Linked DNA regions of Oryza sativa Japonica Group. The protein of the gene in region 1 interacts with the protein of each later gene in a pairwise test. Links are inferred from orthologs where the notes say so. Each region holds a gene or a part of one and is shown on either strand. Other genes may lie near its edges. The genes, in order: probable chromo domain-containing protein LHP1 and histone-binding protein MSI1 homolog.

Region 1 (7,726 bases):
AATATTCTATCATTAGAAACCTCACTATTCTATCATTAGAAACCTAACTAATTGAGCTATGCACACTTCACTTCTAAGGCTGAGTTCCCAACTCACTCTCCTTGTTTTTCGTGCGCACGCTTTTCAAACTACTAAACGGTGTATTTTTTTTTCAAATATATATATATATGTCAACATTTGATAGTCACGACTAAGGTATTTGGATGGTATGGGGATCGTTGGTACAGGGCATATATGAGATTGAGGTAAAAGAGATGGAGACAGGGATTTTTATACATGTTCGGGCCCCTCATCTTACAGGTAATAGCCCTACATCCTGTTGGCCGAAGCCGGTGTTGCCCTTTATTCATCTGGATCACACAAATACAATATTTGGGATAATCTATCTATCCGTCATCGACTTGACGGCTAGATAATCAACTCGTAGTCGACGACAGGGTAGTCTTCCTCCTCGAATCAGTACTCGGCGAGATCAGAGACGACGCTGGATCCCTCTTGCCGGCCTCCGTAGGTACCGGATGGGGTATGGCTAGACTAATATCTGATGTCGAGATCTGACGGCGTATTGGCTTGTGGCTTTGTGGCGTCGTAGATTGTGGTGGGTCTGTCCCCTCTTCTCCTAGGGGGCTTGTATTTATACCCACAGATAACCCATTGTCCAAGTAGAACTAGGGAGATAAATATGGATACGATATGAGTAGTCCTTGTCGTTTCCATATAGAACTCTATTCATCATTCCTTATCCGGAACTCCTTCTATATATGAGGTTTGATTCCATATAAGACATGGTATATGGTGGGCTCTGCTGAGCTTAGTCGATTACTATTGGGTATGTGGTATCCATAACCCTGACAATATATATATATATATATATATATATATATATATATATATATATATATATATATATATATATATATATATATATATATATATATATATGTGAAAGTTGCTTGAAAAAAATCATATTGATCCATTTTTAAAAAAAAATTAGCTAATATTTAATTAATTATATTTTAATGGATCGCTCTGTTTTTCATGCGAAAGGGATTTGCTTCCAACAAGAAGTAACAAACACAGCCATATTGATTCTCCTTAATAGTTTTGAGAATTGATATTCTTGCGGTTGTAACTTTTGTCGATAAACATTTGAATATATTAAAATATATACGTCGATTATGTTTTGTTTACTCTCCTCCCGTGATATGCAAGTTAAAAACGTAGAGACTTATTTTTACATAGCTTCGTGCCCTCTTTGGAGTGATATAACGCTATGTCTACTGTTGTGATTGATATATGGAAACACTATGGTTATAAGGATGTACTCCCTCCGTCCAAAAAAAGACAAACCCTGGCTTTCCGTGTCCAATTTTGACTGTCCGTCTTATATGAAATTTTTTTATAATTCGTATTTTCATTGCTGTTAGATGATAAAACATGCTTAATATTTTATGCGTGACTTGTCTTTTTATTTTTTTCATAATTTTTTTAAATAAGACGGACGGTCAAATATTGGGCACGGAAACCAGGGTTTATCTTTTTTTGGACGGAGGGAGTATATGTACCTAATCTATACCTATATAGACCTAATCTAGACCTGTCAATTAACCTCATCAGGGATCAGGGATTTAGATAAACTGGATTGTTCAAGGGTGGTTGGCGGAGCAGTTGAAAGAGGTCTCCTTGGCTTCGCTCGATGATTGATACTTGATAGCTCGTAAGTGATTTGATTTAATGCAATCATAATATAGGAATTTATAGGTCACTTTGGGCTAACCAGCGCATTAGTTGGCATTGTGAGATACCTTTGGCAGGGATGGATTGGTTTCTAAATCTAGTTCTATGAAAAAAAAACTTATTCTTGTTTTATTTTCTCATATAGTTCCCTAAGGCTGAGTTCGGCACTAAGAGTTCCCAACTCTCCTCTTTCATTTTTCGTGTGCACGTTTTTCAAACGGCTAAATGATGTGTTTTATTTGTAAAAAATTTCTATAGGAAAAATGCTTTAAAAATTATATTGATCTATTTTTTAATTTTTTTACTAATACTTAATTAATCACGCGCTAATAAACTACCTCGTTTACCGTGCAAGAGGGGAATGTTCCCAACTATAACGAGCGAATGCAACCTAAGTTGTTTTACTATGCCTTGTCAACATTCAACCCCTCCAATAGACTTTGTGATAGCATCTTCTTTTTTTAGATTTCTAGTTGCCCACAATTATGCTGGATTTTGTAGAAGTACACTACGTACATTTATGTATACTCCCTCCATACTCGTAAAGGAAGTCGTTTTGGACAGCGACACGGTCTCCAAAACACAACTTTGACTTCTTAGTTTCTATAAAAATATTTATTAAAAAGTGATATATGTATACTTTTATAAAAGTATTTTTCAAGACAAATCTATTCATATAATTTTTATATTTTCAAACTAAATAACTTGAGAGTTATTCATGATTTATATTCCCAAGGTTTGATTTAAACATTATTTTAAACAATTTCTTTATGAGTACAGAGGGAGTACACGCTTTACTGAATTATATTATTACAAGTGTGATGAATCCAATCTAAATGGGTAGGATAATAACACCATCGTTTGGGTGAAAACAGTACCAAATCCCAAGTGGTAAATACCATAAAAGGCCCTCCCTTAGTCCCTTATACTTTTTTGTTAAGAAACACGATTAGCACATAGTACAATCCGGAGGGCAAAACGGGAATATAAAAATCGTTCTGTGCGGGCAGCCGCGGCCGGAGCTTTCTTCCCCGTTCCGTGGCCGCTCCACCAAACGGGCCAAAAGGAACCAAAATCAGCAGAAAAAGATCCATCCGAGAAAGAGAGGAGTAGCCATGGCGCGTGGGAAGAATCACCCGGACGGGGAGGAGGAGGAGGCGCCGGCGGCGGCGGGGGAGGAGGAGGCGCCGGTGGAGATGGACGAGGAGGGGGAGATGGAGGAGGAGGAGGAGGAGGAGCAGGGGGAGGGGGAGGGGGAGGAGAGAGACGAAGGGGAGGAGGAGGAGGAGTGGGAGGATGCGGAGGAAGTGGAGGGGGGAGAGGAGAGCGAGCAGGCGGCGGCGGAGGAGGAGGATTCGCCGCTGGTGGTGGTGGAGGCCGAGGCGGCGGCGCCTGTGGTGGATGGCTCCCCGCCGAAGCTGGCGGAGGGGTACTACGAGATCGAGGACATCCGCCGCCGCCGCCTCCGCAAGGGGAAGCTCCAGTACCTTGTCAAATGGTGAGATCGCTTTCGCTTCCTCTCTCTCACGCCCTTCCGTTTTCTCGCGAATCCATGCGCGCTTTCTAGCACGGTCGAAGTTGAAAGGCGTAATGCTGGATTCTAGGATTGGGTTTTCCGATCCCCACTCGTAATCCCTGCACGGTTCTTGCAACAGTGTGAAGGTGTAATGCTGGATTCTTGGATTGGGATTCTCGTAGTCCCTGCACGGGCTCTAGCACTCGGTAGAAGGTGAAGGTCGTAATGCTGGATTCATGGATTGGGTTTGTGTGCTCAGCATCCGTAGCTTTTGGGGTTTAGGTACTGTTTGATTTGCTAATGTGCCTTGGATGATCCACATTTTGGTTTAGGCTCTGATGACCAGATTGCGCTAAGTAGCCAACCATGTAGTTAGAGAGCCTTCACAGCTAGGGACGAAAACGGGTCAGATTTAGACAGATAATAGTTGTACTTTATCGTATTACCATACTTTTTTTGTTGGATTCAGATTCGGCTCTGATGATCTATGGATGCTGATATTGAACGGATTGTTTGGGATGCTATAAATGGCACGGATATGGAACGTAGTTAGGTTGCAAATAGACCAAAGCTCTCTGGTAGTGTGTACATGGTGATATACAAGAAAAAGTAAAGAAGAACATTACTACATTAGTGGCTAGGAATGTACCAATTGAGAAGCAACTATCAGCCCAAGCAGCACAATAAGAGCATCAGCTAGTAGTGCTACTGTGCAACAAAGTAGCATCAGCCAGCAGCAGGTGCTAAACAGCACAATGAAAGCATCGTGCAGGAGCTGCAGGTAGTACCCACTATCCCAGAAGCCAAGCAGCAGACAGTAGACTAGATTAACTTTGAAGCCGTGGGAAGTTGGTCTAGTACCCTAGTTTATCGGATTATCTAAATAGATCCTTGTCGGGTTATCTGCTAAAAAATGTCTGTTAATCCGTATCTGCTGGATTTTGGAATAGCATATCTGCACCTACAACTATTGTCTGAATCCGTATCATCCGATTATATATATAAAAAACCTTTCACCATATCCTTTTCCAAACAGATTTGGAGGCGGATTGGATATATCCAATATACTTCCATCCCACAGCCAAGGCATAGATGCAATTTCAGGGGCATGGCTGCTGAGCTGATAGCCTGTAACACCAGCCTCCCCTACTACACCAAAACAAGAAAACTCCATCCCTTTCCTTTTAATATTCCTATACTGCCAAAAGTGATTCTTGTAATAGCAATGAACCAAATTGGAGCAGCATAAACTGTGCAAACAGGGTTGTGAGAGAGCACATTGTGCTTCTAGGTGAAGCGGTTGAGTGCTGCTGATGGACTCCTGTAGTTGAAAGCATCACTAGCTTACACTCTGAGCTTAGTGGTTTGGAGAATGTGGAATCCATCTGAATCACCAAGGACCACCTTACAAGCTAAATGTTAGTGTTATGTGCTAGTGGCGTCCCAAGGTGGTGAACAGCATAGGGGTTCTCAATGGGAGGGTGGGGCATGGGACCTCGCAGCCCCGGAGCTGTCAGGAAGGATAAGAACAGAGGACTGGAAAGACCAAGAGGAAATAACTTATTGTTTGCCTAAAGTAATTAATCTTTCCATTGTTCCTTTTATAGGAGTCTCACTTAACAAACTCCTAATGAATCTCAAGCTAAGTTATAACAAACAAATCTTTGGCTGCTTCCCGCGCTTGGTTGTAGCTGTGTAGGACAGCCACCTCCACATAACATCTTGGGTGACTTTTATAGCATGCCCTTGTATAATGCTCAAGGCAAGGCTGAGTAGCAGGAACAGCTTTTAATTTGTTGATGCGTTAATAGTATGATGGTGTTTGTCGGTAGCAAGTGCGTGTTGATGTGGACCATGTGGTAAAAGTGCCCAGGTTGAGAATGGCTGTGGACACTCATATTGCCATATTTGGGACAATACACCTCTACGAGTTCGTAAGCTTCCAGATTTAGAGGCAGTAGTGGCTAGAAATCAATCTAGATCCACTACCCACCTCTCCATTGGTTATTTGGCAGCAGGAGCAAGAAACTGGCATTTCCGTTTTACACATGCTCCCTAGTGCACACTGCACATTGCAACTGTTGTGTTTTCTTCATCCTAGCTGCCAATACTGCAACCAACTTACCTCACTGGAGATGATGGATGTATTAACTGCCTTTAGAGCTATGAAGACCAAGAACAGGATTGCGTTCAGAAGAAGCAGCAGTACGGCAGGTACTGGTCAACTTGGTAATGTGTCATGTTCTGAGCTGTGTTCTGTTTACAGGGTACCCTGTAAAAAAACATCTGTGAGACCAGATCGTACTGCAATTTGATTACACCCTCAAATTGATGAACCAAACACTACCTTAGAGCTTAGATATATTCTGAACGCAGCTGATGCTTGTATTTTATTGTTTCTTATATGATTTTTATTCGCTGGCTTGTCTATTGCAGTTTAAACGTTTTTGGCTCACGTGGAAGCTTCTTGTTTTACTCGTTTAGATTTGGTGATAATTCTTGTGTTCCTAACAATTTTATATGATTTGCTAGGCGTGGATGGCCGGAAAGTGCTAACACATGGGAGCCCCTAGAAAACCTGAGTGCCTGCTCTGACATTATTGATGCTTTCGAGATGCGGTATGTACTTGTCACACTTCCGTCTGTAGTTCTATTCACATTTTCAGAAGATAATAAGTAAATAAGATTGATTTGTCCTTGTGGTTGTATGCAATTCAGGTTACAATCTCCAAGGCCCGGTCGGAAGCGTAAGCGGAAGATAACAACTACTCCAGTAGCAGGCTCAAACCCATCTCATGGTAAACGGGGCCGCCCTCGCTTGGATGCTAAGTCCCACACTCGAGCTCCTGCACCAGAACCTAAGCAACTGCCCTGTCGGACAAGTTGTAGGAGAGCGACTAATTGTAGTAGTAAGACAGTTGCAGGGCTTGATGCGTCAGGGAGTGTGGTGAGGAACCAGCTTGCACAGAACATTGTACAGGAGGGTAGTTCCAGTGTGATTTCAAGGACACCATGTCAGGAGCTACCGCTCTCAATTAGGTTGACGGACCAACAAAACGAGCATCACCTTGTGAATGGTTCGTCTAATTCTGAGAACTTAGTGAAGGTACCTCCATCTCAGGGTGGCCAGGTAACTGGTGCCAAGAAGCGTAAATCTGGAAATGTGAGGAGGTTTGAGCAGAATAAACCAACACAAGGACAAGGAGAATGTGGAGCATTAGTGGTGGCTGAGGATGTTGGTTCCACTGAAGGAGAAACTGGCGATAAGAAAAAGACAGAGGGCTGTCCTAACCGAGTTCATATCACCAAGATCATCAAGCCAGTGCGATTTGCAGCAGCTGTGAACAACGATGTGCAGCAAGTTTCAATTACATTCAAAGCACTCAGGTATTTTCTGTAATTTCTTTTCGTAGTTATAGGCCTAAAATTTCTAAATCTCAGACATGTTTTTTTTGCTAGCTGATATTGCTCCCTTTCTGACTACTTTTATTACAAAAAGGAAAGTGACTATATCTAGCAATGAATTATTATTTGGCTACAAATTGAGTGCTTTATGTTTCACTCATTTAGAGATGTCGCAAAAAGAATCCTCTGGTCTCTTCACTAATCAAATAATATATTCTGCATTTTTTTATGACCATTTTTATGTAGTTATTCATATTGTTAGTTTGATATGTTTGAACTGTTTTTCTAACCAAGTGTTTCGACAGGTCTGATGGGCAGGAAGTCATGGTGGACGACAAAGAATTGAAAGCAAATAATCCCTTGCTGGTACATCCCATTGTCTTCTCCTATTACTTGATGATGAGGGAAACATCTAACGCCAAAATGCTCTCATGTTTTTTTTCCAGCTTATTAGCTACTACGAGCAGTGCCTTCGTTATAATCCGACTTCGTGAGAGATGAACTGAAGGAACTGGGTTTAGCTGCCTGTGTATTTAATTAGCATTTGTGTGTTTAGAAGCTTGTAGCTCTATGGGCTTGATAATTTAGTCTGGTCTTGCAGTAGGTTGCTAAATGCAAGAAATGTATTGCTTGGTCTCCCCACTGATTGCTTATTCGCGCCATCGTATGTGTAACATTTTGAACAGTGGGGAGATATGTGTAATCTATGCTTAGGGATCTTATGTTTCTTTTCTCTATGTTTAGTTATTTGGGATCGTCGTGACCTGCATGCATCTTTTCTCTATGTTTAGTTATTTGGGATCGTCGTGACCTGCATGCATCATAGACGGTAATGACTGAGAAGCTCGTGAATTTCGTGTGATGAATGCATATCCAGTAGAACTGAATAAACTGCGTAATGTTCGTTCTCTGTGGATCTGTGATGTTGGCGGGTCAAGCTTGAGGTCTATACTGGAGACTATTTCAGACTGTTTAACTGGTTTTCTTCAGAGTCCCTTCTCATTTCTTCCGCTTGATACTTGTCTTGTTCAATTGACACGCTTCAACATTTGCAACTTGTCTTGTACT
Region 2 (7,719 bases), on another chromosome or scaffold:
AAGAAGAATACATTCAATGTATTTATCTGTATGCCATCACAGAAGCATTTTTGTTCAAAAATACAGAAATAGCAAGCCCAAGTATGAAGGGAACATTCTAATGCTACCTTCACTCTATGGATGTAACACCTCCCTAGAAAAAGGTAGGTTGCATAAATATTCAATGCTATATAATAAATTTTCATGTGATGCAGATACAAACAAACAATAATAATCGCAATATACAAAGGAAGTAATTAACAGAACTTTAGGGCACATGCACACTGATACTTGTAAAAATGGCATATCAATTCAGTAGAAGAGTTGTATATTCCTACTTCCACCTCTATGATACAATTATGCTCTTCTAATATAGAGTGCAACAGGAAAAGCAATACTACTGTTGATGGGTTATAGAATGATTAAATATCAAAAACAATGTAGTAAGAAAAACAAAGGGGATCAGAATAATAGATTCACAGAAAAGTTAATCTCTTGGTCACACATAACAACTATTATTGCTACAGGTGGACTGATGTAGACAACACAATATATGATATGTGTTATTTCAACGATGAAGAGTTCCTAACATGGCCATAAAATTCTAATGGATACATATATAGATGACATGTGAAGCATGTCATTGGGTTGGCAAGAAACTCCAAGGACATACATGATTTAAAAGAAGAAAACATAACAAAATGGTATGGAAGATTGAATCTCAGAACAGATAAATTAAATTTTCCTTAACAATACAAAACAATTGAAAATCATACACATAAACCCACCGAAGATGGCACAACCTAAATCCCCAATCACAAACAAACAGTAAACATCCTAGTTAGATTCAGATGTGTTTGTCCCTAATTTGATAGAACAAATGCACCTCAATTACTTTGTGTGCATCTAAAAGCAGAAAGAGGGTATCATCCCAATTCAATCCAATTAACCATGGTAGGAAAAAAAAACCCCACAAAATCTCCACTCCGTATTACACACCAAAAAAAGGAAAAAAGGGTGCACAGATAATTGATGAAGGAAGTTCAAACCACATATAGCAAAGCAATCACAAACCAAAGCTCCATTCGTGTAGAGGTACATCACAAAAGCCTAAGAGAGGTACAAACCTTGCTGGATCCTGCACCATACAAGCCACTGTTAGCATCGTCAGATTCACAGTATTCCATATCCTCAACATCACCACAAGGGTATTCTATGTCCTCATCATCATCACAAGATAGTTGAGCTTGTGCAATTATTAGGTAATTGGGAGATTTTTCAGAGTTTTGCGGGTGATGTGTGCCAAGCACCATCTTCTGATGTTGATCCTGACCAGGAAGCCACTGCACGGTACTCAAAGGACACTCAAATTGTTGATGATGCAAAGGTCATAGATGAACGGAATGTTGCACAGCCAGGTCTGGTAAATCTCCTGCTCCTCCCTGGTCTTCATATCCTCCTGCTCCTCCATGATCCTTACCGACATATTCACCATCTTCGTCCCCAACTTATCCACCTTCGTCCTTCCTTTCTCAAACGCCGCCATCTTCATCTTCATATCATCCTGCTCCTCCGTGATCCCTACCAACGTATTCGCCATCTTCGTCCCTGACGTATTCGCCTTCTTCACCCTTCCTTTCTCAAACGCCGCCATCTTCGCCCTCCCTTTCTCAAACGCCGCCATCTTCGCCCTCCCTTTCTCAAACGCCGCCACCTTTGCCCTCCCTTTCTCAAACGCCGCCACCTTCGCCCTCCCTTTCTCAAACGCCGCCACCTTCGCCCTCACTTTCTCAAACGCCGCCATCTTCGCCCTCCCTTTCTCAAACTCCAACATAGAGGATTGAGGTTTCTAGGGTTTAATCTAGAGAGCTTTGATGGAGATATGGCAGGGAGGTCAGGGATTTATTGGCTGGCTGCGCTATCATGTTTGGGCTAAGCCAGATTGGGAATGAGGTCAAGGGGGCCCAGGGACAGAAGAGATTTCTGGCTTCACATCTAGAATTGGGCTTACATGTGGCAAAAATTGAATGGTACGGCCCAATTATGCAGAAAGAGATAATACCATTTGTGCAGGTTCCGCAATAATAGAATTGCACAAAGGCTATGTCAAACTTAGAAGGTTGTAATCCTCAATGCAAATTCAAGCATGGTCACAAAAAGAACCTGATAGACCTATACTATTTCTGAGAGGGGATCAAACAGTTCTCACTATAAAAAGGCTGCAAGAGACAAATCAAAAAGAGAAAACTGAAAAGAAGACTGACCAACAATAAAATAGCAAACATGAATACAAATAAGAAAATGAAAAGGGGACCAAAAGAGAACACTGCAGCTTTTTCACCACGAGAGCTACAATCCAATAGTTGCACAGGTAACGTAAATAACTGAAATATGAAAATATCAGTCCCAAAGGGCTTTGAAGAAAATTTCATCTTTGATTATAAATACATTGCATAAAAAAAGGGCTTAAAATACAAGGATTAATCACCATTCTGGATATTCCTGAAGTCGAGCATTTTTTATAAAAAAAAGAAGAAGAAGACATGGATCAAATATATGAATTCAATCAATAAAATCTTTTCCAATTACCAGATGGGTATACCTTCGACATTATGCTTCGAATATACCAAATGTCACACAAATTCAGCACCGTTTCATAACTACCATAAATGAAAACTTTGTTTCCGTTAGGTGGATCAGACAACCTCAAGGAATTCAATGGTACAGTCTACTCCATCTGCATGGTTGACTAACCCGCAAGCGCCAAACTAACAAAGTAATAATGCACAAGCGCCAAACTAACAAAGTAATAATGCGCAAGCGCCAAACGAATAAAGTAATAACACACAAGCGCCAAACTAACAAAGTAATAACCCACGTGCGCCATAGTGCAAAATCGCGCCAAAGCAGTACGCTATCCTCCTCCAAATCATTTCACCCTCATAAATATATGTCAAGACATACTTACCCATTACGAAACTAAACCTGCAAAAGTCTTTGAAACCCTAACCATCGCCGGCCGCCTGCTATAACCCAAAACACCACCGCCCTGGTATCAGAGTCCATAATTCCAAAGAGAGAAAATCACTCGCAACCGCAGAACATAACTAGTGCCCGAACTAGCCACCATGGAGCAGATAAACATAAATCCCCTCTCGCCTGACTAAACCACCACTCTCCTCGAACCCAATAACACCAATTACAAAACAATTAACAAAGGAAATTCTAACCCCGAACAGAACAGAGCAAGGCGTGCAAAAGTCTTTGAAACCCTAACCATGCACCTGGTATCAGAGTCCATAATTCGAAAGAGAGAAAATCACTCGCAGCCGCAGAACAGGAACTAGCGCCCGAACTAGCCACCATGGAGCAGATCAAAACATAAATCCCCTCTCGCCTGACTAAACCACCAATATCCTCTAACCCAATAGCACCAGATTACAAAACAATCAACAAAGGAAATCCTAACCCCGAACAGAGCAGCACGAGCCCACTGCCTCACCATAGCACAGCATAGCAACAACGACGAGAATTAATTAATAGCGTATAAGAAGAGAAAGGGGGGGGGAGTGGAGGGGAAAAGGGGGGGGGAGGGGGAGAGAGATGAACCTTGCCGGAGGCGGCGCCGAAGCCCCCGATCTCGGCGTGGTCGTCGTCGTAGTGGCGCGCGTCGGCCTCGGCGTCGTCGAGGGGGAGCTGGACCTGGGCGAGCATGAGGTAGTTGGGCTCGTTGTCGGAGGTGTGGGTGCCGAGCACCATCTTCTGGACGGAGTGGTCCTTCCCAGCGGGCTCAGCGCGGTCGGGGAGCCACTGCACGGTGAGGGACGGCCACTCCAGGGCATGGGTGATGACGAGGTCGTACAGGAACGGGGTGTTCTTCTTCCAGATCTTGTACTCCTCGTTGATCAGCCGCTCCTCCACCTCCGCCCGGAACTCCTCCTCCTCCGCCGCCGTAGCCTTCGGCATCTCGCCCCCCGCCGCCGCCGCCGCCGCGCCCTCTCCTAGGGTTAGGGTTTGGGGGCGCGTTGTTGGAGGAGGCGAGGGTTTTGGAATTGGGGGCGGGTTGAAATGGCGGGAGGCGGGGGAATGGATGCGAGACGGATGAAGAGACTGCGAAAAAAAAAAAGGAGAGGAGAGGAGAGAGAGACCGAGAGGGTATAAAAGGGAGGGGGGGACGAGTCTGACCTGACGAAGCGAATGGGGTTTATTAGCGGTGGTGGGCTGGGCCGCTCAATGGGAGGCCCAGTTAGAGGCGGGGGTTGCTGGTCTCGCTGTATATTGGGGGTCCACCTGTAAGTGTAAATGAATTTATGACCAGCTCAGCACTTGCTGCCGTTTCCATGTTTTTTTTGCTGGAATTTTGGCACAACACCAACAGCAGTGACGAATGGCAGGCATTGATTGCCAATCTGTCCCCAGATGGCCAAATCAAAATTGTTTTTATCCTTCATCGCCAGCATCTGTTCATTTTTAACCCCTAAACTTCCTTTTTTTTTTCAGGCAATGTTGTGTCACTAGAGCTTACTTCTTCCGTCCCATAAAAACAATCTGCCCCCAAACGATCAAATCACCTTCTTCCCATCATCTGTTCTTTTTTTACCCCCAAACTTCGATCTTTTTTTTCATTTTTTGGCAATTTTGTGTCCCTAGAGCTTACTCTCTCCGTCAAAAAAAAAACCAGGACTGGTTTGATTTTTATGGAACGGAGGGAGCACCGATAGAAGTAGTTATTTTTAAAAAAAAATCAAGGAAATGCAGCAGCTATGACCGAGCATAGATCCACAAGCAAAAGCGAGAGAGATTGATTGACAACTAATCCATTTATATCACAAAAAACATAGGAGTACAAGGTTACAACTTTATAAACAGAAGCAGCCGTTTCTCAAAGATACATTTTCAGCAAAAGTGCAGAAAGAACAACATTCTTCTTGAGTTCTCAAGATGTCGGAACACAAGAACTCAACCGTAGATCTCATTACCAAAAGGGTACGATAAACTGTTTTAATCAAGAGGACTTTCAAGGTCCGGTCTTTGGTCCATCGTCTCTGCCATTGCGCCAGTAGGAAAAGCATCTGGATATGTTGCCGCTAACCTCGATTTCATGCCTCTACAACATAGACATAAGATATATAGCTTGTTCAGCTGGAAAACTGTTGTACAAATCCAATTCGAATGCACACTGGGATAAAGAGACCTGGAAGAAATGTACCTCAACTTCAGGAAAATATGGTCAAGATCAGCCTTCATGGACTTGAGAAGACGAGTTTTACCAGCAAAGTCATTAGACACCTCCGCAAAGCATTGTTCAGAGTATTCATTAAAATGTGTGAGAACTGCATTACTATCTTGCAATCGTCCCAGTCTACAGAGTAAACAAAAAGAGCGGTACGGATTTCGGTTAGTTGCAAAAGAAAAGGAACAGGACAATTCCTGCAAATCCTACTGCCATGGTACAGAAATTGTATCACTGCGACTAGCATTGCTCATATGTCTAACAAAATACTGCACATTTTGATAGGCAAATTGCTCTCACCAGAAAAGTGAGAAGCAAATCTGAAATCCACCAATTAATGCAAAGGAATCTGTCAATCTAAGAAACATAGTAATATTGTGGTAATGAAGGGAAAAAGCATGCCAGTGATCTGGTTGAACCAATAGGTCAATGCACATTAGTGAGTGCTGAGCAGAAAATATATAGTAATTATTGACAGGTATAATTTGAAAATGCAACATATTCAATGATTTTAAAAATATCTTAAACATCGAATTTTCCAAGGGCCATTTCAGGTGACTAACTCAAAGCACAATTCCAACTATTGTCTGAACTCTTGTTTTAGAATAATGGTTCCAAGTATGCATAGGATGGATGAACAGCATGGCAGTGCAAGACAAAGTACAAGGCGCAAATATCACATCCAGAACCACAAGGGCTCCTACCTTAAAGTGCAACAGAACTGGACAGGTGGCTCGTCAATACAAGTAGCATCAAGAGTTTTGGCAAATGGATCTTACTCCAAGATATCTATCGGTCTACCAAATTTTGTGCTGAACCAGTTGAGGGGCAGCTGAGCGAGGAAGTGAGTTTATATATTTATATGGATGTTTAGGGAAGGAAATTCAAGATGGAAGTGTAGAATTTGGCATGCCATAAAGAGGATGCTACCATGATTATTGACTCTAAAATGAGTGTGGATGTAATGGTGTGAATATGATAATAGTTGATAATTTCAAACAGAACTTACAACTAGAATATTTGATGAGGCATCATTAACAGCACATGTTTAGCATTAATCTTAAGTATTTGTGAAGTATCAATCACTAGCAGATTCCTGATTAGGACAATTACCTTCCTGGCAAACATTCCTACACAAACAAAGGGCTACCAGAAGGGCAACCTCCAAAACTCTCCAGAGGATCTAGTTAATAACTTAATACTAGAAGTAGGCAAGTAATGAAACCTCTCAAAGCACATCAGCATTGCCAAAGCGTATGCATCTCTGGTGAACAAATGCAGCAACTTGCAATAATCCAGTTCCTTATTTTAGGGCACAATAATCCAGATAGCATGTACAATCAAAATTCTAGCAGGTAGTCCAATGTCAAGAATATGGCGTCAATATTCTTTGAACCTATAGAACATCACCTATAAAGGGTTAGGCATCACAGAGTGCATGTGTTTAGCTGTGAGGTGCATACATCAAACCATGCAGAACTGCAATTGCTACAAGAGATTCTAGCCAATATTTGATCAGATTTGTGGACACAATGCAAAACATCAGTTTTCCCTAGCAAGGAGCACACTGAATTTGATTCAACTCACCTAATCAAATAATCACTCTGCTTTTGGGAAACCCTCGATGGGAAAAACAAGCAATGTTCCTGAGACCTAACTCTAAGCCAAACCATGTCTCCCAGTGTTGACACATGTAACTACAACTACAAGCAATGAATCAGGCCAATAAGCAGGCAAAGTTTCTTCCTAGAAACCGAGAACAACCCAGAAAGTGCCCTAGGCCTGTATCAGAGACCATGATGTTCATCGATCAGCACAAATCCTCCAATTGAGCACAGAACGACGGGCAAAAAGGGAGGGGGAATGTCATGTGGGAAATGAAAGAGGGAAAGCTATGCCTCATACATGAGATGCTGCATCTGCTTTATGGCAACGACGTCTTCATTGTTGACCAGCAACCTGAACCACGCCAGTGGCGACTTCTCCATGGTCTCTTCCTCCTCTCAACTCCCACAGAAGTCACGCCTGTGTTCACAAAGATGGACGGTTTATTTTGTATAACTACAAAGAAGGTAATAAATCACATCATGTAAGTTATCAAATCCTGGGTTTCCTCGTTTGTACCGTTTCTTAATGTGGGGTATTGCAGTCTGGTGGAGCACAATAATGACAAATGGAAATAATAAGGGAGGAGGGATCGACATGGGCGCCAATAATTGTCTGGTTAGCAAATGAAGCATGCAGCAATACGCCCGCAAGGCACTAGTAGCTCTGCTTTGTTTTCAACCAAGATCAGTTAGCAGCAAATACCATACATCATTTATTGAACCACGCTAAAAAAAGAAGAAAAAATGGAATTGATGCTAGTACCCTGAACATCATCTCAACAGGGTAAAACCCATCTCTATCATAAATTCAGTGCTCAGTCACACAAAAGCCTATCAAGTTGCAGAAGCAGCACTGATCCTACAATTCAGAATTGTTGGGCTCTTTTCTGCAGATCACCA

Evidence for each region.
Region 2: the proteins of probable chromo domain-containing protein LHP1 (region 1) and histone-binding protein MSI1 homolog interact in binary tests that used the Arabidopsis thaliana proteins (3 or more experiments, as listed by UniProt). The link is inferred for Oryza sativa Japonica Group from reciprocal best matches to the Arabidopsis thaliana genes TFL2 and MSI1.

The regions. Positions count from the first base shown.
Region 1 is NC_089044.1:9,455,584-9,463,309, forward strand, and holds probable chromo domain-containing protein LHP1, read left to right. Parts: upstream 1-2,756; 5' UTR 2,757-2,852; coding exon 2,853-3,235; intron 3,236-5,785; coding exon 5,786-5,872; intron 5,873-5,971; coding exon 5,972-6,640; intron 6,641-6,963; coding exon 6,964-7,024; intron 7,025-7,104; coding exon 7,105-7,152; 3' UTR 7,153-7,565; downstream 7,566-7,726.
Region 2 is NC_089037.1:25,489,009-25,496,727, forward strand, and holds the start of histone-binding protein MSI1 homolog, read right to left. Parts: upstream 4,053-7,719; 5' UTR 3,946-4,052; coding exon 3,589-3,945; intron 1-3,588. Other genes in the region: kxDL motif-containing protein 1, read right to left, coding at 4,981-5,086, 5,189-5,341, 7,118-7,200; phosphatidylinositol N-acetylglucosaminyltransferase subunit P, read right to left, coding at 7,686-7,719. UniProt on the Arabidopsis thaliana protein: Core histone-binding subunit that may target chromatin assembly factors, chromatin remodeling factors and histone deacetylases to their histone substrates in a manner that is regulated by nucleosomal DNA.